3 linked regions of the Xenopus tropicalis genome follow. The protein of the gene in region 1 interacts with the protein of each later gene in a biochemical or structural test. Links are inferred from orthologs where the notes say so. Each region holds a gene or a part of one and is shown in the gene's direction. Other genes may lie near its edges.

Region 1 (4,292 bases):
TAACTCCCTGTGACACACTACTCACTGTAACTCCCTGTGACACACTACTCACTGTAACCCCCTGTGACACACTACTCACTGTAACCCCCTGTGACACACTACTCACTGTAACTGCCTGTGACACACTACTCACTGTAACTCCCTGTGACACACTACTCACTGTAACCCCCTGTGACACACTACTCACTGTAACCCCCTGTGACACACTACTCACTGTAACTCCCTGTGACACACTACTCACTGTAACCCCCTGTGACACTCTACTCACTGTAACCCCCTGTGACACTCTACTCACTGTAACTCCCTGTGACACTCTACTCACTGTAACTCCCTATGACACGCTACTCACTGTAACTCCCCGTGACACGCTACTCACTGTAACTCCCCGTGACACGCTACTCACTGTAACTCCCCGTGGCACGCTACTCACTGTAACTCCCCGTGACACGCTACTCACTGTAACTCCCTGTGACACGCTACTCACTGTAACTCCCTGTGACACACTACTCACTGTAACTCCCTATGACACGCTACTCACTGTAACTCCCCGTGACGCGCTACTCACTGTAACTCCCTGTGACACGCTACTCACTGTAACTCCCCGTGACACGCTACTCACTGTAACTCCCTGTGACACGCTACTCACTGTAACTCCCCGTGACACACTACTCACTGTAACTCCCTGTGACACACTACTCACTGTAACTCCCTGTGACACACTACTCACTGTAACTCCCTGTGACACACTACTCACTGTAACTCCCTGTGACACACTACTCACTGTAACCCCCTGTGACACACTACTCACTGTAACCCCCTGTGACACACTACTCACTGTAACTCCCTGTGACACACTACTCACTGTAACCCCCTGTGACACACTACTCACTGTAACTCCCTGTGACACACTACTCACTGTAACCCCCTGTGACACACTACTCACTGTAACTCCCTGTGACACACTACTCACTGTAACCCCCTGTGACACACTACTCACTGTAACCCCCTGTGACACACTACTCACTGTAACCCCCTGTGACACACTACTCACTGTAACCCCCTGTGACACACTACTCACTGTAACTCCCTGTGACACACTACTCACTGTAACTCCCTGTGACACACTACTCACTGTAACTCCCTGTGACACACTACTCACTGTAACCCCCTGTGACACTCTACTCACTGTGACAGGGCTAGTGGTGACTAAAAAGTAACTTCTCTCACCTGTGTCTGTTCCTCCTCTCCCCCGATATCTCTGTGTATTTGGCCCTTTCCTTGTGCTGCGCAGCTAATCCTGATCCCGTAGAGCCCAAATCCAGCCCATACCTCTCCCCTGACTCCCTGCCCTTCTGACCCTGGCGCTATTACCAGGAAGGGAGCACTGAAACAGTAGTCACAAAATAGAAACAGCAGCTGTCCCAGCAATTCTTTTCTGTAACAGACCCCTCCCTTGCTCTTTTTTCATCTTTACTTCCCCCCATCATTTCATTCCCTTCCAGCGTTTCAGGGCTTGCGTTCCATCATACCCAGGCACCACACTGGTCCAGCTGCACAACCTGGCACTGATATCCAAGATGGCACCCATGGTCTCCCCGCCTCTGACACCCACAGGTAATGTAAATATGAACATACCCTCACACCAGCACTCACTCATTGCACCATACATACACTCACACCAGCACTCACTTATTGCACCATACATACACTCACACCAGCACTCACTTATTGCACCATACATACACTCACACAAGCACTCACTCATTGCACCATACATACACTCACACAAGCACTCACTCATTGCACCATACATACACTCACACCAGCACTCACTCATTGCACCATACATACACTCACACAAGCACTCACTCATTGCACCATACATACACTTACACCAGCACTCACTCATTGCACCATACATACCCTCACACAAGCACTCACTCATTGCACCATACATACACTCACACCTGCACTCACTCATTGCACCATACATACACTCACACAAGCACTCACTCATTGCACCATACATACACTCACACCTGCACTCACTCATTGCACCATACATACACTCACACCAGCACTCACTCATTGCACCATACATACACTTACACCAGCACACACACATTGCACCAAACATATACTCACACCAGCACTCACTAATTGCACCATACATACACTCACACAAGCACTCACTCATTGCACCATACATACACTTACACCAGCACTCACTAATTGCACCATACATACACTCACACCAGCACTCACTCATTGCACCATACATACACTCACACCAGCATTCACTCATTGCACCATACATACACTCACACCAGCACTCACTCATTGCACCATACATACACTCACACCAGCATTCACTCATTGCACCATACATACACTTACACCAGCACACACACATTGCACCAAACATATACTCACACCAGCACTCACTAATTGCACCATACATACACTCACACCAGCACTCACTCATTGCACCATACATACACTCACACCAGCACTCACTCATTGCACCATACATACACTCACACCAGCATTCACTCATTGCACCATACATACACTCACACCAGCACTCACTAATTGCACCATACATACACTCACACCAGCATTCACTCATTGCACCATACATACACTCACACCAGCACTCACTAATTGCACCATACATACACTCACACCAGCACTCACTCATTGCACCATACATACACTCACACCAGCACTCACTCATTGCACCATACATACAATCGCACCAGCACTCACTCATTGCACCATACATACCCTCACACAAGCACTCACTCATTGCACCATACATACACTCACACCAGCACTCACTCATTGCACCATACATACTCACACCTGCACTCACTCATTGCACCATACATACACTCACACCTGCACTCACTCATTGCACCATACATACACTCACACAAGCACTCACTCATTGCACCATACATACTCACACCTGCACTCACTCATTGCACCATACATACCCTCACACAAGCACTCACTCATTGCACCATACATACACTCACACCAGCACTCACTCATTGCACCATACATACACTCACACCAGCACTCACTCATTGCACCATACATACACTCACACCAGCACTCACTCGTTGCACCATACATACACTTACACCAGCACACACACATTGCACCAAACATATACTCACACCAGCACTCACTCATTGCACCATACATACACTCACACCAGCACTCACTCATTGCACCATACATACACTTACACCAGCACTCACTCATTGCACCATACATACCCTCACACCAGCACTCACTCATTGCACCATACATACACTCACACCAGCATTCACTCATTGCACCATACATACACTCACACCAGCACTCACTAATTGCACCATACATACACTCACACCAGCACTCACTCATTGCACCATACATACACTCACACCAGCACTCACTCATTGCACCATACATACAATCACACCAGCACTCACTCATTGCACCATACATACACTTACACCAGCACACACACATTGCACCAAACATATACTCACACCAGCACTCACTCATTGCACCATACATACACTCACACCAGCACTCACTCATTGCACCATACATACACTTACACCAGCACTCACTCATTGCACCATACATACCCTCAAACCAGCACTCACTCATTGCACCATACATACACTCACACCAGCATTCACTCATTGCACCATACATACACTCACACCAGCACTCACTCATTGCACCATACATACACTCACACCAGCACTCACTCATTGCACCATACATACACTCACACCAGCACTCACTCATTGCACCATACATACACTCACACCAGCACACACTCATTGCACCATACATACACTCACACTAGCACACACTCATTGCACCATACATACACTCACACCAGCACTCACTCATTGCACCTCACATACACTCACACCAGCACTCACTCATTGCACCATACATACACTCACACCAGCACTCACTCATTGCACCATACATACACTTACACCAGCACTCACTCATTGCACCTCACATACACTCACACCAGCACTCACTCATTGCACCATACATACACTTACACCAGCACACACTCATTGCACCTCACATACACTCACACCAGCACACACTCATTGCACCATACATACACTCACACCAGCACTCACTCATTGCAGCATACATACACTTACACCAGCACTCACTCATTGCACCATACATACACTTACACCAGCACTCACTCATTGCACCATACATACACTCACACCAGCACTCACTCATTGCACCATACA
Region 2 (4,052 bases), on another chromosome or scaffold:
TCCCTTCCCAGAGGCTATTATCCCCCCACTGCTACTATAGGCACCATCTCTCCCTACTATACCTGCTATCCCACAGCCCCCAGTCCCTTCCCAGAGGCTATTATCCCCCCACTGCTACTATAGGCACCATCTCTCCCTACTATACCTGCTATCCCACAGCCCCAGTCCCTTCCCAGAGGCTATTATCCCCCCACTGCTACTATAGGCACCATCTCTCCCTACTATACCTGCTATCCCACAGCCCCAGTCCCTTCCCAGAGGCTATTATCCCCCCACTGCTACTATAGGCACCATCTCTCCCTACTATACCTGCTATCCCACAGCCCCAGTCCCTTCCCAGAGGCTATTATCCCCCCACTGCTACTATAGGCACCATCTCTCCCTACTATACCTGCTATCCCACAGCCCCCAGTCCCTTCCCAGAGGCTATTATCCCCCCACTGCTACTATAGGCACCATCTCTCCCTACTATACCTGCTATCCCACAGCCCCAGTCCCTTCCCAGAGGCTATTATCCCCCCACTGCTACTATAGGCACCATCTCTCCCTACTATACCTGCTATCCCACAGCCCCAGTCCCTTCCCAGAGGCTATTATCCCCCCACTGCTACTTTAGGCACCATCTCTCCCTACTATACCTGCTATCCCACAGCCCCAGTCCCTTCCCAGAGGCTATTATCCCCCCACTGCTACTATAGGCACCGTCTCTCCCTACTATACCTGCTATCCCACAGCCCCAGTCCCTTCCCAGAGGCTATTATCCCACTGCTACTATAGGCACCATCTCTCCCTACTATACCTGCTATCCCACAGCCCCAGTCCCTTCCCAGAGGCTATTATCCCCCCATTGCTACTATAGGCACCATCTCTCCCTACTATACCTGCTATCCCACAGCCCCAGTCCAACTTAAATCACAAGAAAACAACAAGCTGCTGCTCTATGTCTGGAAATTATAATCTGTGACTGAGCTCTATTTAAAGCCGAAGTGGGAGTTGTAGTTCAGTAGCTGGAAGGCTGGGGACCGCATATCCCAGAGTTAAGGTTTCTCTTTGCTGTTCTTTGTCAATCAGAAGAAATTACCAACCCCCAAAATAGATTAAGGTGCGCTATAATGAGTAGCTTTCCTGCTCCGCCCAGAGCTGGCCGTAAGGGGATCCTGGGAGTTGCAGTTCCTGCCCAGCCAGAGCCACAGGTTGGGATTCTTACTGAGCGCTGGAGGGGAGGGAAGGTGAGTGTTGCGCATGCGCGGCGCGGCTCGGCTCGGAGGCTGCCCTGCCCGGGATGGAATGGGAAGAGAGCGGATACTTTGTATCAGTGTCTCCCGGAGAGTGAGGAAGTGAGAGCAGGAAGCGGCCGGCGCTGCCCCCTTCCCGGCTGCCTCCTTCCCGGCCAGAGGGAAACTTTGTGGGCTCAGTATGAGAGGATAAAGGCGGGGGCTGCCGGGATACAAAGTTTGCCTTGGGATGGCTTGAATGTGACCGGGGGGCGGCAGTGTGAGTGCAGCCGGGGGGCTGCCGGGGGCTCAGCATGGCCAAAGTCATTCAGAAGAAGAACCACTGGAGCAGCCGAGTGCACCGCTGCGCTGTGAGCTGTGTGGGGGAGCCGGGGGAGCCGGGGCTGCCGGTGCTGGGGGGCGCGGAGGATGGGGAGTTCCTGTACCTGGGGGGGGCGGCTGAGGGGCTGAGGTGCAGCGATGGCGAGCTGGCCGAGGGGGAGTTACTGCTGGAGGTGGCCGGGGTGCCCGTCTCTGGATTACCGCGATACGATGTACTGGAACTGGTCCGGAACAGCAAGCAGCCTGTCCCCATCACTGCTGTCAGACAAGGTAAGGGGGAGGGGCCACTAGGGGTCACCTGGTTAGCTGGTCACTGGGCTACCTGTTTAGCTGGTCACTGGGCTACCTGTTTAGCTGGTCACTGGGCTACCTGTTTAGCTGGTCACTGGGCTACCTGTTTAGCTGGTCACTGGGCTACCTGTTTAGCTGTTGGGCTACGTGTTTAGCTGTTGGGCTACCTGTTTAGCTGTTGGGCTACTTCTTTCACCTGCTCAGTTGGCAACCTGCGCCCTATGTGGCAATTGACTGGTCACTATGTGGCCATTGCCTGGTCACTTAGCCACCAATTGGTCTCCTAGCCACCAATTGGTCTCCTAGCCTTTTGCCAGTTTCTGGCTACCTATCCCCCAACTGCACACTAGTCCCTGGGTCGCTTTTCATCGGCCAGAGCCACCTGCTAACTCGCTGTTCCATTGGTCACCTTATTACTTGGCTGGCCAGCAACTGACCATCTGGCTTGTCACGTCAATAAGTATTAATTTATCACTATATAATTAGCAGTTGTTATTACATAGTCATTACTTACCTAATCACACATTGTTTACATGAGCTTGTCATTTGTGTCCTGGCAACTAGTCATCAAGTGGCCTCTTACTAGCTTAGTGATAGCCTCCTGGCTACTTGCTGCCTAGCTGTTAGCTGGTCACCTGGTTGTTAAATAATCACTTGACAAACTGGCCACTAACCCATCTTCTTTAGGCCGCAAACTCCTTATCAGTTGGCCATTCACTCATTAACTGGCGGCCTGCTGGCCAACAACATGTTTACGTTAGAGACCGTCAGCTAGTCACTATCAATGTGCTTGTACTTTCTCTTCCACTAGCCACCCTCTTGCCTTCAGCCGGCCACGTGACCAGATATATCGTACGTGTTTGTCATGGTGATATACACACGCACTATTTTGTTTACATAGGAAGGAGTTCAGGGACCCTAGTCAGACCCTGTGGCCCTCCAGCTGTCATAACTCCCACTAACACCTGAAGCCTCAGTGGCTGATGGGATTTGTAGTTGGACGTCCCCCTATCGGTATTATCAGGTTATATTTCCATTCTATTCCAACCCCCCCTGACCGTGGGCAGGAGTACTATTTGCAGAACATGGCACTCTGTGTGCTGATAAGGTCCTGTATATCATCAAGTTCTGCCCAGTTAGCCGGTCGGCTATTGGAATTAAATTTGCCCCCCCGGCCACTGGATAATAACATTCCTACCCTGTACCCTTGTATTAGATCCTGGTAACAGCCTCGTGTTTGCTTATACACACGGATACAATGTATCACCTCGGGGGCAATAAGGCACTCGGCGCACTCTATGAATAATGTAGCGTAGAAGTCGTTCCGCTGGAATATAGTGGAATGCGTTTGGGGAATCTCCCTTAGATTTATCATTGCTGATATTTCCAGTAAAACCTGCTATTTATAAAATTACCTTTTTTCCTGTTATTTTAGTGAGAACTAGTGTTCTGAAGCCAATCAATGCATTTGGATATTGTTCATATTCACATTCACGCCTGCATTCATTCGCCCAGCAGCCCCATGTGATTCGGTTTATTGCGCGCGTTGCTTATATATAAATGTTGGGTCGTATTGTGCTCGCATTAGCGTGGTGGAAAACATTCCTGTGTCAATATTTGTGTTCTAGACGTGACACACTAAGCGCACCTTGGCTTTCTGATCTGTGAGAATGGAGTCACTGGCTTTACCATTAGCCCGACTGTATGAAAGGCCTCATTAAATGCTAAAGGGCTTCAAAGGTGTCGGCACATACCTGGAAACAATACGCAGAATTATGTAATATTCAAAAGAAAAAGTTTTTGTGACTTTGGCACAGTGACGTGTTTCTCCGTGGCTATTGTTTCCATAACCTGCCTGGGAAAAAAACCAGCAGTTTTGTTTTGCTTTATGGCAGAGATTCTACAGTAGATACAGACTGGGTTATAAATGAGGATCAAATACTTTATCTGAAAGGTTTGTTTTGCTTCACGGCACTGCTGCTTTTGGAGGTTTAAGCTAGTTATGAGAGTGCAAGAGGTAAGAGAAAAACCCCAATCTTTTAGGGTGAAGACACACAGAGCTACTAGTAGCAGCTACTTTTTCGCAGCTACTAAACTCCAGAAAATATACTCCCATAGACAATACTGAGAATTGCCTCTGGTAAAATACACGTAGAAACAGTTATCAATAAATGTTCAGCATTGTCTATTTTAGTAGCCGTGACA
Region 3 (3,500 bases), on another chromosome or scaffold:
ATATTGCTTTCTGTTTTTCGATCATGTCTTGTAAAGCTTTTAAACTGGTAATTTCCTGGTATTTGAAAATTCTAGACAAGTAGTTGGAGAGTTTTGAATATACTTGTATCAGTTTTTTTTTTATTCTTATTTGCATTTTCAAAGTAAAATTTAAATGGTAAAAAATGTCATTATCCTCTGAATCCAATTAACTGTAGGGGCACTTCTTTGTAATGACAATAAACATTAAATACAGATATCGGATCTGTTATCCAGAATGCTCGGGACCTGGGGTCTTGCAGATAAGGAATCTTTCCGTAATTTGGATCTCCATATCTTAAGCCTACTAAAAAATAATTTATTACAAATACACCCAATAGGATTGTTTTGCATCCAATAAGGATTAATTATATCTAAAGGTCCCGATACACGTGAAGATTCGCTCACTTGGCGATATCGGCAGCTAGAATCGGCCCGTGTGGGGACCCTTAGTTGGGATCAAGTACAAGGTACTGTTATATTATTACTGAGAAAAAGGAAATAATTTCTAAAAGTAAGAATTATTTGTTTAAAATTGAGTATATGGGATATGGCCTTCCTGTAATTCGGAACTTTCTGGATAATGGGTTTCCGGATAACTGGTCCTATACCTGTATTAAATTTATGAAATTGGAGGAGAAAGGTTAGGGTAGGTTATAAGTGGCAAGAGGAGCACTGGGCTAGTTACTTATGTGCCCAGAGATTCCTTCAAGTTGGGAATAGTAGTGAAACATGTTCATACAACTAAACAGAAGTAGGATAAACTGTGTTTCCTCATCACTGCCAACCATGATCTGAGGCATTAGAATGACTGGTAAATATCCTTGTATGTATGATTACATTTATGTAATTCAGACATTCCTTTTTACTATTTTATACAAACCTTGTGAACAGGATTTTCCTGTACCATTACCTGCACTCTGGAAAATGCAAGAGGATATTCCACAGAGCCTGGACACTGATTCAAAGGTAATCTATTTTTAAAGTATCCTAAAATGTAAAATGTTTTAGAAAAAGCTAAGGGCCCTGAATATGGTACTGTACTATGATTAGCTATTAAGGAAACCTATACAACATTAATGCCTTTATTACAGTTTGAGAATGAAAATGTGGCTATTTTCATAAACTTTTTTTCTTAATAATACTATTTTTATATTTATTTTAACCATATTTTATTGGCTGTTATTGTAGACTTTATAAACTGCTGCTGAATATGAATATTTGAAACCTCAGAGCTGATGCAAATCATTTCTTATGGAAAGCTAATTAAAATGAAAAAGCTGTTAACTTTACAAAATATATGGTACAATTATCAAAATGATATGGTTTGCTTTGCAAAATTGCTAATTTTTTTTTTTCATAACCTTATGCAGGTTTTATCTTTAGATACTTGTTTTATATAACTTTTTTACTGACCAGATTTTTTTTTTAAATGACAATTTAAGTATTTTGTTATTTTTGCTATTTTTCAGTTATTAGCTTTGTAAATCCAAATATAATCTATTAAGTCTGGGTAAAAAGGTCTAATAATTCAAAAATAAGTAAAGTAACAACTCTATTATTAGAATAATAACCATCTGGATTATTATTGCATACTTTTTTTTTTTTTTTTTTTAAATGGGCCAAAAACTGCCTATATGCTATAACCCTTATTGTGGTTATGACTCCTATGTGCGGTTGTCATGAAATGGGAAACAACATAGCATAAAATCATCATGATAGTAGGTGGAACCTCCTGACCTTTACTAAGGGAAATATATGGACCTTCTTAATGTTAGATTGCCAAATCTGGCAAACACATTGTAATCATTTTCTGGGTTTGAATTGTGAGCTTTGGCTGTGAAGTAACAATAGCGTTTAACCAAGTAGACGTCTAGCCAAACATCCAGATAGTAGGAAGGTAATTTGCATTACAAAGATTTTTGTATTATAATATTGTGTAATGTTTTTGTTCTTTTTATAGCTGCATATTGACTTTGGTGGAACCGTTGGCTCTTCAGAAACAGATGATTTAAACACAGCATCTACTGAAGATGGTCAAAGTATCGAGGATGCACAGGGATCTCCACTTGCAATGTGGGAAACCGATATTCAGGATATCCTATTGGAAAAAGGAAGCCTTGGTCTTGGATTCAGCATTTTAGATTATCAGGTGTTTATCTTCTATGCTCTGTGTTAGTAACATACAATCTAATACCTGAAGTCGAGTTGCATGGCTACCTTTTTCCTTGCTGCTGTTTGTTAAAGGTCCACTTTCATAAAATAGCAACATTTTTTTTCCTTATCCTCTAAAACAATAGGGGAGATTTATCGATCCACGAACGCCCCGAATGCGTCCAAATGCGCTTTTTCGTAATGATCGTTATTTTTGCGACAATTTCGTCACTGTTGCGACTTTTTTGTATCTTGCGCGAATTTTTAGTCGCCGTCACGACTTTTTCGTACTTTGCGATAAAATTTTGCGACAAATTCGTATTGTTGCACCGAATACGAAAGTTTTGGATTCTTTCAAGCTTTGGTATCCTGCTGGTATCGTGCTTGGTGCTTTGAATATTCTGAAATGTACAGGATCGTCATCAGGATGATAGACAGGAAGTGAAGTGTCAGGTTAAAAACCCGCAGTATCCAATCAGTGTTTATACAACATTAACCCATTCAATAACATGTGCAAAGTGTAATCAAATACCAGGCACTTAAAAAATCCCCATATGATCAAAAATAAAATTATCATCAAACATCTAGACATATTAATACATAAACTAGGACATATCCCATATATATCAATGTAGTAAGCCACATGGCAAAGCTCATAGTGAAATATAATTTTAAAACACATATAAGTCAATCTATCAAGACACATGACAAAGTCACATGTCATGACTAAAAATTGAATTTATAAATATCACCATTAACTTCAATACTCATCTAAACTCATAATAGTGCATAAAATAGGACATATCCCATATATATCAATGCGATAAGCCACATGGCACAACTCATAGTGAAATATAATTTTAAAACACATGAGTCAATCTATCAAGACACATGACAAAGTCACATGTCATGACTAAAAATTTAATTTATAAATATCACCATTAACTTCAATACTCATCTAAACTCATAATAGTGCATAAAATAGGACATATCCCATATATATCAATGCGATAAGCCACATGGCACAACTCATAGTGAAATATAATTTTAAAACACATATGAGTCAATCTATCAAGACACATGACAAAGTCACATGTCATGTCTAGAAATTAAGATGATAAATATCACCATTAACTTTAATGCTCATACACATTAGCTATTACATATTAATAGGGAAAAATAAGTTACCCACCCAAAGTTATAACGTGATAAAAACTAGCGTGTTGTAAAAAGTTATTTCATATTCATAGTGAGATTAAGGAAATGTGAACAGATAAACGGACAAAAATTGTCCAATACTAATAAAAAGCATTTCTTACAATCTTTAT

What was found.
Region 2: the proteins of crhr1.2 (region 1) and magi1 form a complex in vitro, tested with the Homo sapiens proteins (2 studies listed by BioGRID and IntAct, with this or other methods). The link is inferred for Xenopus tropicalis from reciprocal best matches to the Homo sapiens genes CRHR1 and MAGI1.
Region 3: the proteins of crhr1.2 (region 1) and mpdz form a complex in vitro, tested with the Homo sapiens proteins (2 studies listed by BioGRID and IntAct, with this or other methods). The link is inferred for Xenopus tropicalis from reciprocal best matches to the Homo sapiens genes CRHR1 and MPDZ.

What each region holds. Positions count from the first base shown.
Region 1 is NC_030686.2:16,307,405-16,311,696, forward strand, and holds the start of crhr1.2 (corticotropin-releasing factor receptor 1), read left to right. Parts: upstream 1-1,492; 5' UTR 1,493-1,614; intron 1,615-4,292.
Region 2 is NC_030680.2:143,759,923-143,763,974, forward strand, and holds the start of magi1 (membrane-associated guanylate kinase, WW and PDZ domain-containing protein 1), read left to right. Parts: upstream 1-1,252; 5' UTR 1,253-1,528; coding exon 1,529-1,826; intron 1,827-4,052. UniProt on the Homo sapiens protein: Plays a role in coupling actin fibers to cell junctions in endothelial cells, via its interaction with AMOTL2 and CDH5. May regulate acid-induced ASIC3 currents by modulating its expression at the cell surface.
Region 3 is NC_030677.2:124,798,009-124,801,508, forward strand, and holds part of mpdz (multiple PDZ domain protein), read left to right. Parts: intron 1-912; coding exon 913-987; intron 988-1,981; coding exon 1,982-2,170; intron 2,171-3,500. UniProt on the Homo sapiens protein: Member of the NMDAR signaling complex that may play a role in control of AMPAR potentiation and synaptic plasticity in excitatory synapses. Promotes clustering of HT2RC at the cell surface.